Linked DNA regions of Schizosaccharomyces pombe. The protein of the gene in region 1 purifies or fractionates together with the protein of each later gene. This does not show direct contact. Each region holds a gene or a part of one and is shown on either strand. Other genes may lie near its edges. The genes, in order: pcf2 and pcf3.

What was found.
Region 2: the proteins of pcf2 (region 1) and pcf3 purify together in Schizosaccharomyces pombe (affinity purification with western blotting; 2 studies listed by BioGRID, with this or other methods). This does not show direct contact.

The regions. Positions count from the first base shown.
Region 1 is NC_003424.3:4,118,118-4,122,049, reverse strand, and holds pcf2 (CAF assembly factor complex subunit B Pcf2), read right to left. Parts: upstream 2,177-3,932; 5' UTR 2,152-2,176; coding exon 2,020-2,151; exon of another isoform or gene 1,925-2,019; coding exon 1,822-1,924; exon of another isoform or gene 1,781-1,821; coding exon 1,538-1,780; exon of another isoform or gene 1,473-1,537; coding exon 412-1,472; 3' UTR 176-411; downstream 1-175. Other genes in the region: mgs1 (DNA replication ATPase), read left to right, coding at 3,077-3,668, 3,712-3,742, 3,788-3,805, 3,850-3,932. UniProt on the Schizosaccharomyces pombe protein: Acts as a component of the histone chaperone complex chromatin assembly factor 1 (CAF-1), which assembles histone octamers onto DNA during replication and repair.
Region 2 is NC_003424.3:2,529,139-2,533,070, reverse strand, and holds pcf3 (CAF assembly factor complex subunit B Pcf3), read right to left. Parts: upstream 1,788-3,932; 5' UTR 1,619-1,787; coding exon 392-1,618; 3' UTR 194-391; downstream 1-193. Other genes in the region: atp19 (F0-ATPase subunit K), read left to right, coding at 1-80, 143-167; protein meu29, read right to left, coding at 2,280-2,933; mug105 (ubiquitin-fold modifier-specific protease), read right to left, coding at 3,252-3,932.

The DNA.
Region 1 (3,932 bases):
AGTAGATTATTAGCAATTTAATCTATGCAATGAGTAATGTATAAGATGCAATTCCTATAGAATGGTGGTGATGTTATGTGTAAGAGGGTTCCTCAATACGTATTTTATACTTACAGAAAAGTTACATATTAGTTTTATAGTCTTAAGTAGACAAAAAGTACAAACGATTAGAAGTATTATTTGCTTTTTATATATTTATCTTAACAATTGTAATGAATTTAATTGTGCTTATATCTAAGCAAATTACCGAATGATTACATCCAAAGTAGAATGTACAGTTTTGCCTTCTTTTTTTTTTTTAAAAAAATAAAAGGTTCTTTAAAGTTACTAGTACAAAACAAGAAGTACGAGATTTTTACTCCAAAAATCAAAGCGTATTGTCGAAGTAGAACTTTTTTCATAAACATGAAATTATGGATAAACGGGGGTAGGTGCAATACGCTTCTTTGATACTTTTGAAGATTCAACTTTTCTGGGAATTAGTGTTGTAGTAGCTGGTCCCCCAGCCGTATTGTCTTGTGAATCATCAATACTAGAGGGTGAAGCTGATCGTTTCTCCGGCAAAGAAATTTTGTGTTGACTTTTGACACCCAATTCTCCAGGTTCAAAGGTAATTACAGAACAAAAACCATCTATAGAAGTCATTAACAAAACATTTCCATCATCATTCCAAGCTATGTCTGTAAGGTTAGAGTAATGTAAATTTACTGCACGATAAAATGGTTTGCAAGTTTGCGTATCATAAATATAAACAGCATCTTGACATGCCACAGCAAATACCATTCGATAAGGAAGATTAAAAGAGACAGAAGTAAAAGAGAAGTTAGAGAATGAGTTCAATTCATAATGAATTGGAGAAAAACGAACCGCAATAACTGGTTTTTTGAATCCATTAAGACAAGCTACTGGCTGTTTGGTTATACTCCCTCTTGTATAAATATAAGCAGTATAGGGAACTTCAAAGTTTGGTTGACCGTGCGGTCGAAGCCGACCAGCAGGCGTAACTAGTAGTAATCCGTCAGGGGAGAATGCTGGACGACGAAAAAAAGAAACAAGAGTTTCATTGCAGTACAAAGAGTAACTGATTTTTGAATTGAGAGAATTTGGAGGCTCTGTTCGCTCTAAGCTTCCATCTTTGACTATGTTTGCAGTTGATGAGAGAGCTTCGTGCTTAGATACGGGAGACTCATTATTATTAGAAGTTTCGATAGGTTCTGATATCCCCGATGATTCATCATTATTTAAGGGCTTCGTAACAGATATTAATTCGAATTTAGTTACATTATACTCAATACGACAGATGCGCGATTTTAAAACGAGTTGGAATTTTTTCGGATTCTTTTTTTCCTCTTGAATTTCGTATAAACATATAGAACGATCACTACTTTCCGAAACGATGTATTGATTCAAAGGATCCCAACATACCCCTTGAACGTAATGTGAATGGTCGAATTTTTGAGTAAGCAGTTGCCCTTCTTAGTCAGTAATTTTAATTTAAAAAAAAATATTGCCAATAACAACAACTGCCAATTCATACCTGTGTGAGCATCGTACAACCGAAGACTATTATCCATGGCGCCGGCAATAAGAAAATTACTGTCAACCGACCAGCATAAATCATATATTTCTGAACCCATCGACCTACAAACTATTTTGACCTTCCAATATTCTTTAGCTAGAGCCAACTCTTCCGCATCATCAGCCAAAGTTGTTATAGGAGTGTTAGTTGGAACCCATAACATAATAGTTCCTTCATCTCCGGCGGTAGCAAGAATATTTCCTATTTTAATGTGAGCATTGGAAAAAATTATTAGCGAATACCTTCTGGATTGAAACGAACGACGTTCACTGCTTGCGTGTGTCGACTTAACGTAGACAAATATTCGACTTTTGTGGATGATTCCGAAGTGATCAATTGCCATATCTGGATATTAGTATAATTGAAGGAATTTTCTTTCTTTTTTTTAAACTACAACAAACAATAGTTGAAGCAAAAATAGTTTTATGTCAAATCATTACCCTGATTTTACTGTCTCCTCCACATGTAGCAAATTTATTAAGACTGTTCTTTTGAAAATCAACTGAATAAATAGGTGTGTGATCATCATTAGCATCATAATGCCATCGTATCTGCAAAACCTCCGCTCTCATGTTCCTCTTCGTCGTTAGTGCTCTAGGATCGCTTCGCACAATTTTTCTAATAGTAATTTCGTGAGTACGGAACTAACGTGTATATTATTTAGAGTTCAAAGAGAATTTTTTATGAACTCTCTAATATTGTTGTTATTTCTATTATTTGTCAATTTGCTTTGGGTTCAATGTTCAAGCAGCATTAGTAGTTGGAGGAAAAATTTTGAATTATATGCTGAGTGCCCGTTATACTCTATTTTTTTTTATCTATTTAAAGCCCTTTAGTTTGCACAATAGTCTTCTTATTAGCCGTGCGATTACTATGTTTAGTGTTAGGTAAGTTTATAAGGTTCGATTTCTTATAAATATTATGGACTTTCACAGTTGAAATTGCATCCTTTCCCCTTGGTTTAAAAACAGAGTATTTCATATAATAGAGTACAAAATTTGAGGGTTTAAAACGCGTAGTTTACAAGTCTTGGATCAACATCATTTTGGTTTTTAGACATTTTATTATCTTCCATAGACTCATCATTTCTATTGTTTTTTTTTTAATATCTTATCATTTAGGCGGTGAAATTGCGTATAAAAACTGTCAACTATAATAACACATATGAATTTAAAATCTAACTTTTTCTTGTAAGTAATATTTTTAGCTTAAACAAATACTTTGATATTATTATAACCTCTTACTTCATCGTATAATTCCCTAACTACACGCGACGACTTGGTTCACGGTTTTGTACAATCGATGCCGTTCAGCTCTGTTATATTGCTGTTGAGAGTGTCATAAACAACAAGCAATTTTGATGATCAAAATTCCTTAAACGTTACTTTTTTTTGTAAACTTTCTTGCCAAAGGTCGCTCATTTGTATGTGTTATTGTTTCATTCCAGATTTATCTGTTTACCTTTCGTACCACATACTTTTATCTATGTAAATCAGAATGTCAGGACCAGATCATGTTCAATGTCCTGTTTGCGCGAAAACAGTTACGATGAATGACATTAATCCACACCTTGATTCACATTATTCGGACTCATCAGGCCCTTCGAAACCTGTTTCACCCTTTTTTAAAAAGGAACGCTATAAACATCATTTAGAAACAAATGTCTCATCTCACCAGAGCGCTACAAAATTTATAGAGCCTGAACCCAGCCCTACAAAGAAAACTAAACTTACAAGACGGGATACACGACCACTGGCGGAACGAGCAAGACCCAAATCACTAGATGAATATGTTGGTCAGGAAGAGCTGGTTGGTGAGCGAGGCATCATTCGTAATCTGATTGAACAAGATAGGTGCAATTCCATGATTTTATGGGGTAGTGCTGGAACTGGAAAGACTACGCTTGCTAGACTAATTGCCGTTACAACAAAATCAAGGTTCATAGAAATTTCTGCGACTTCGACGACTGTTGCTGATTGTCGTAAAATCTTTGAAGACTCACAAAATTATCTCACCTTGACAGGAAGAAAGACTATTATTTTCTTGGACGAAGTACATCGTTTCAACCGTGCGCAACAGGATATATTTTGTAAGTTTGATATTTTTTTATCTCTTCAATTAACCATGACTAGTGCCAATGGTTGAAAAGGGTCTAGTTACTCTGTAAGTGATGCATTCTAATATCACAAATGCTAACCTTTGAATTAGGATCGGCGCAACAACTGAGTATGTTTAAACACTAATGTTTTCCACCATGATTAACATTGTAGAAATCCTTCTTTCCGACTAAATTCTGCTCTCATTAGCAGATGCCCCGTTTTTGTGCTTAAGAAACTAACGCGTGATAATGTTA
Region 2 (3,932 bases), 1.6 Mb from region 1:
TTTAAAAGAAATAAGCCACTTAGCGCAAAGGATGTTCCTCCTTTGAATGCCAAAAGCAAAGAAGAAGAAGAATTCATTTTGTAAGTAAAGCTATTGCTCTATAGCGAGTGTTTGGAATATATTTACTAATACTACTTTATAGGAAATACATTGAAGAACATAAGTAGGAAATCCTTGATTACCGAACGGACGATTAGTGAGTGAAAAATTATCTTTTCATTAGTAATGAAATATCTCTATGTCATTAGGTAATTTTAATGTACACGTTGAGCAAATTTGAAGATGAATGAATACAATATAGCCCTGCAACATACCCATCAAAATTGCAATTAATTAATTGCTGTATAACTTAAAACTTTGTATTACCTCGTGTGATGGATGTAAGTATTTATTAATTAACAATAACATTGGGCTTCCAAATGTGTAATTCATTGTCATCAGCAACCGAAGCAATACATTGTGCCTCAAACGGATCAAAGTCCACTTCATTCACCGTACCTTTATGACCTGCATGCACAAACTCCAAAGGATTAGCTTTGTTAAAATTCCACACATAGCAATACTCTTGGCAGGCACTAACAATCCGACCAGAGTGTCTCCAGCTCCATGACAAACTGGTGCCTCCTAGAGTTAGTCTAGAAGGCACTTTTAATCTATTATCTGATAAGTCTTCAGAAGTGTTAAAAACCGATTTATTTAAGTTCCGAAGGTCCCAAAGCTGTAAATCTTGCTCAGACCCCAAAGCAAACAAAGTCGCAATTGAAGGATTATGTCTGACGCTAAAAAGGGGATTTGAAGCTTTAACTGTTTTCGAACATGTTTGTTGAAGTCGGTTATCACAAATAAAGGCAATTCCATTATCATTTACAGCAATATATAAGTTGGTGTGGTGCGGATGATATTCAACATCATTAACCGGAGAATCATCATAATGAAAATCCTTTACGGGAGTTAAGCACCTCGTATCACGGCTAAAATTATTTAGATCCCATTCTAAAATTTTCGAATCATTAGCAGCTGTTACAAGTCGGCAATTTTGCTGACGATTCCAAGATAGTCCAAACCCTTCTTTTTTGTGCCCAATCAAAGAGATATTTGGTAAAAATTCTTCAGCGGGCATTGAAGTATATTTTGTCCGATCAAATATATATGCATTTCCACAAGAGCTCATAGTAGCTATGATGTTTGGGTTTTGAGGCATGTGTCGAACACGATTTACATCGCCATTATGAAGAATTCGTTGCGAGATTTGGAACTTGCAAGAATGTTGCATACTATAGCCTCCTAGCTCACCAGTATCTTCATTGTAGTGTTTTACTGGATCCAATATAGTTTGATTGAAATCAGGTAAATCTAAATCTGCAAGCTGCAAGAAATTTGGCATCCCTTCAGCGGCATGAGTCCCTAGGAGAAGACGGTTTTTTAAAACCGCTTTTTCAGTGATCGATTCCATTGCTGAGAGCCATTGGATACTTAAAGAGGGCCATGTTAAAGTACGGGTTATTAGTAAGTTGTATAGATGTTTCGAATTTTTTTTCCAACGAAAATGATCCTCACTAATCTGATTCTCTAGAAACTTAATATGTTCGAAATTCTGCATATCCAGTTCGGTGTTCATTTTTGCATACTTTAACAAATTTTTAACAATTTGAGTTTAAACCACCTCTACCACCTCAAAAGAATGCAAGTGATTTTACTTTTAGAGAATGAGTTAAACTAAAATATCTGTCTATAAGCCACTATTTGCCATCAATATGTAAGAAAGTTTTGTTGGAAGGTATGTACATGGAAGGTTGAACCTACAACGTCGGTAGACGAAGCGCTTAGTACGAAATATGGATTACCATATACAGCTGAACAAATAAATGAAAAAAGAAACAATTTTATATCAAGAAGTTATATAATACTATGAATGATCTGCTATGCCAATATTGATTTTTAATATAGCTGTTTTCCATTATTATATTTTAAAGTGTATTTTCTCTAACTGTAAGTTAAAGAAGCAAACGAAAGTGGACAGAGAATATGATGGTAATAATGCAAGAATATTACTAAATAGAATGCAGAAATCTAACGATTATTAGCCGTGGGGATGACAGCGCTCGATTTCAATTAGGAGGCATTCATTAATGAGTGATTAATAAGGGAATGAACTTGTAATATATGTAACAGAGGTGCGATTTCAACTGTTGTTTGCCTATTCTGAGAGTTAGACTGTCATCCATTTAAGATATGTGATACTACGTGGAAGCTAAACACGAGGATTCAAATGCAAAGTATTAAACAGATTCATCCAACACGGGTACAGGAACTCTCTGTTTGACATTGGAGAAAAGCTGTATGCCATTAGATAACTGCTCCTCTACAGCAGAAACCGCCAACTCCATAAATTTCTGTTCATTCCATCTTCTGTTATCATGGAAACGAGATCTAGGTGTTCCCAAATAACCAAGCATACGGAAACAGGCAGTTGCCAGATATGAAGCCGCAAGGAGGAGCACAAACGCAGCAGTGAATGGCTTTAATGAAAACAATTTCCAAGGCCTATGTAGTAATACTCCAGAGTAGGTCCATTCCAACTTATAGTTTAAAATGCATGTCTTAGTAATGCTGTCCATGGACAAGGCGACGGTTTTTTTGCACTCAATATTATAATCTATTACTTCTACATGAGAAGACTGATTAGGCCATACACAAGTCCATTTTAATAAATGAGGAGCAACGTTAAGTTGGTTATGCTGACAAATAGCCAAATCATTGCTGTGCGAGCTACACGCTGGTCCTTTGCAATGAAGCCGTGGTCCATCATCAACGTTGGAGGATTCAGAACTAAATTTTAATGCTTGAATTCTGTCCAGAGAATAAGTATATGCATAAGTATTTCCAATAAATAATGCAAAGAATAATAATACAGCAGTCTTGACAACAAACATTGTGCAAGGCTGGTAGTTGTTTACTTTTGGTAACAACTTTAGCCTTTATCCACATTCGGAAGCCAAAGTCGGATATACCGATGTAAACACCGAATTCACCGCAAAACAACAAATTTTAAATTCAATAACAATGTCGCTATATGAAAATATGAGAAACTATCAACAATTTTAAATATACGTATACTACATAGTAGTAAGTCAAAAGAGAATAATCAGATATATTATTATTTTTCAACAGTTTTTCCTTTTTCTATAAATTAATATATGGGGAAACGGCCTTCATAAATATTATGAAAAACATCACCAGCGCTTGGACAGCTAAAAGTCCGAAATTCTGGTAGAACGAACTTCCAGTTTTGAACTGAAATCATTTAAAAAAATGTTTTGCTTAAAATGTACCAATTGAAATTGTGAGAATTTCAAAGATCGCTTTTTTCGCATATAACAGTGATTAAAGTCCGCAATATTCACAAACTTTTTTTGAACACTCTGATAACGATCTGGATCAAGCACAACAAGAGTTTCTAAAGAAGAACAGAACCCAATGATAATGATAGAATGCCCTTGAAATTGTAAATAACATGGAGAAACATTGCTTGTATCATTAGAACTTTCAAAATGTTTTTTAACGTAAAGAAAAAGTGCATTGCTAGCAGAAGCTTCAGATCTGAAATCAAAGTCTACTAAAGCGACGTTGACAAACAACCCGGTAAATAGGCTATAAACCTCAGTAGCACCAATCCATTTACCATGCAAGTTGTCTCCTAATTGAGCATAACCTTCGGCATCTATACCTTTCATCCAAGCGCTGAGCAACAACGATTGCAAAGAATTGATTTCATAATTTCCACTACTAAAATTACGTTTAAACCAATTTGGATTGGTGTATTGAAGCCAGGAAATTAACATCTGTATATTGCGCCAACCACAGCCCCATCCACGATCAATACCGGTAACTGTGAAAAAATAATCGATGTCACCATCTGCTAATGAGCATCC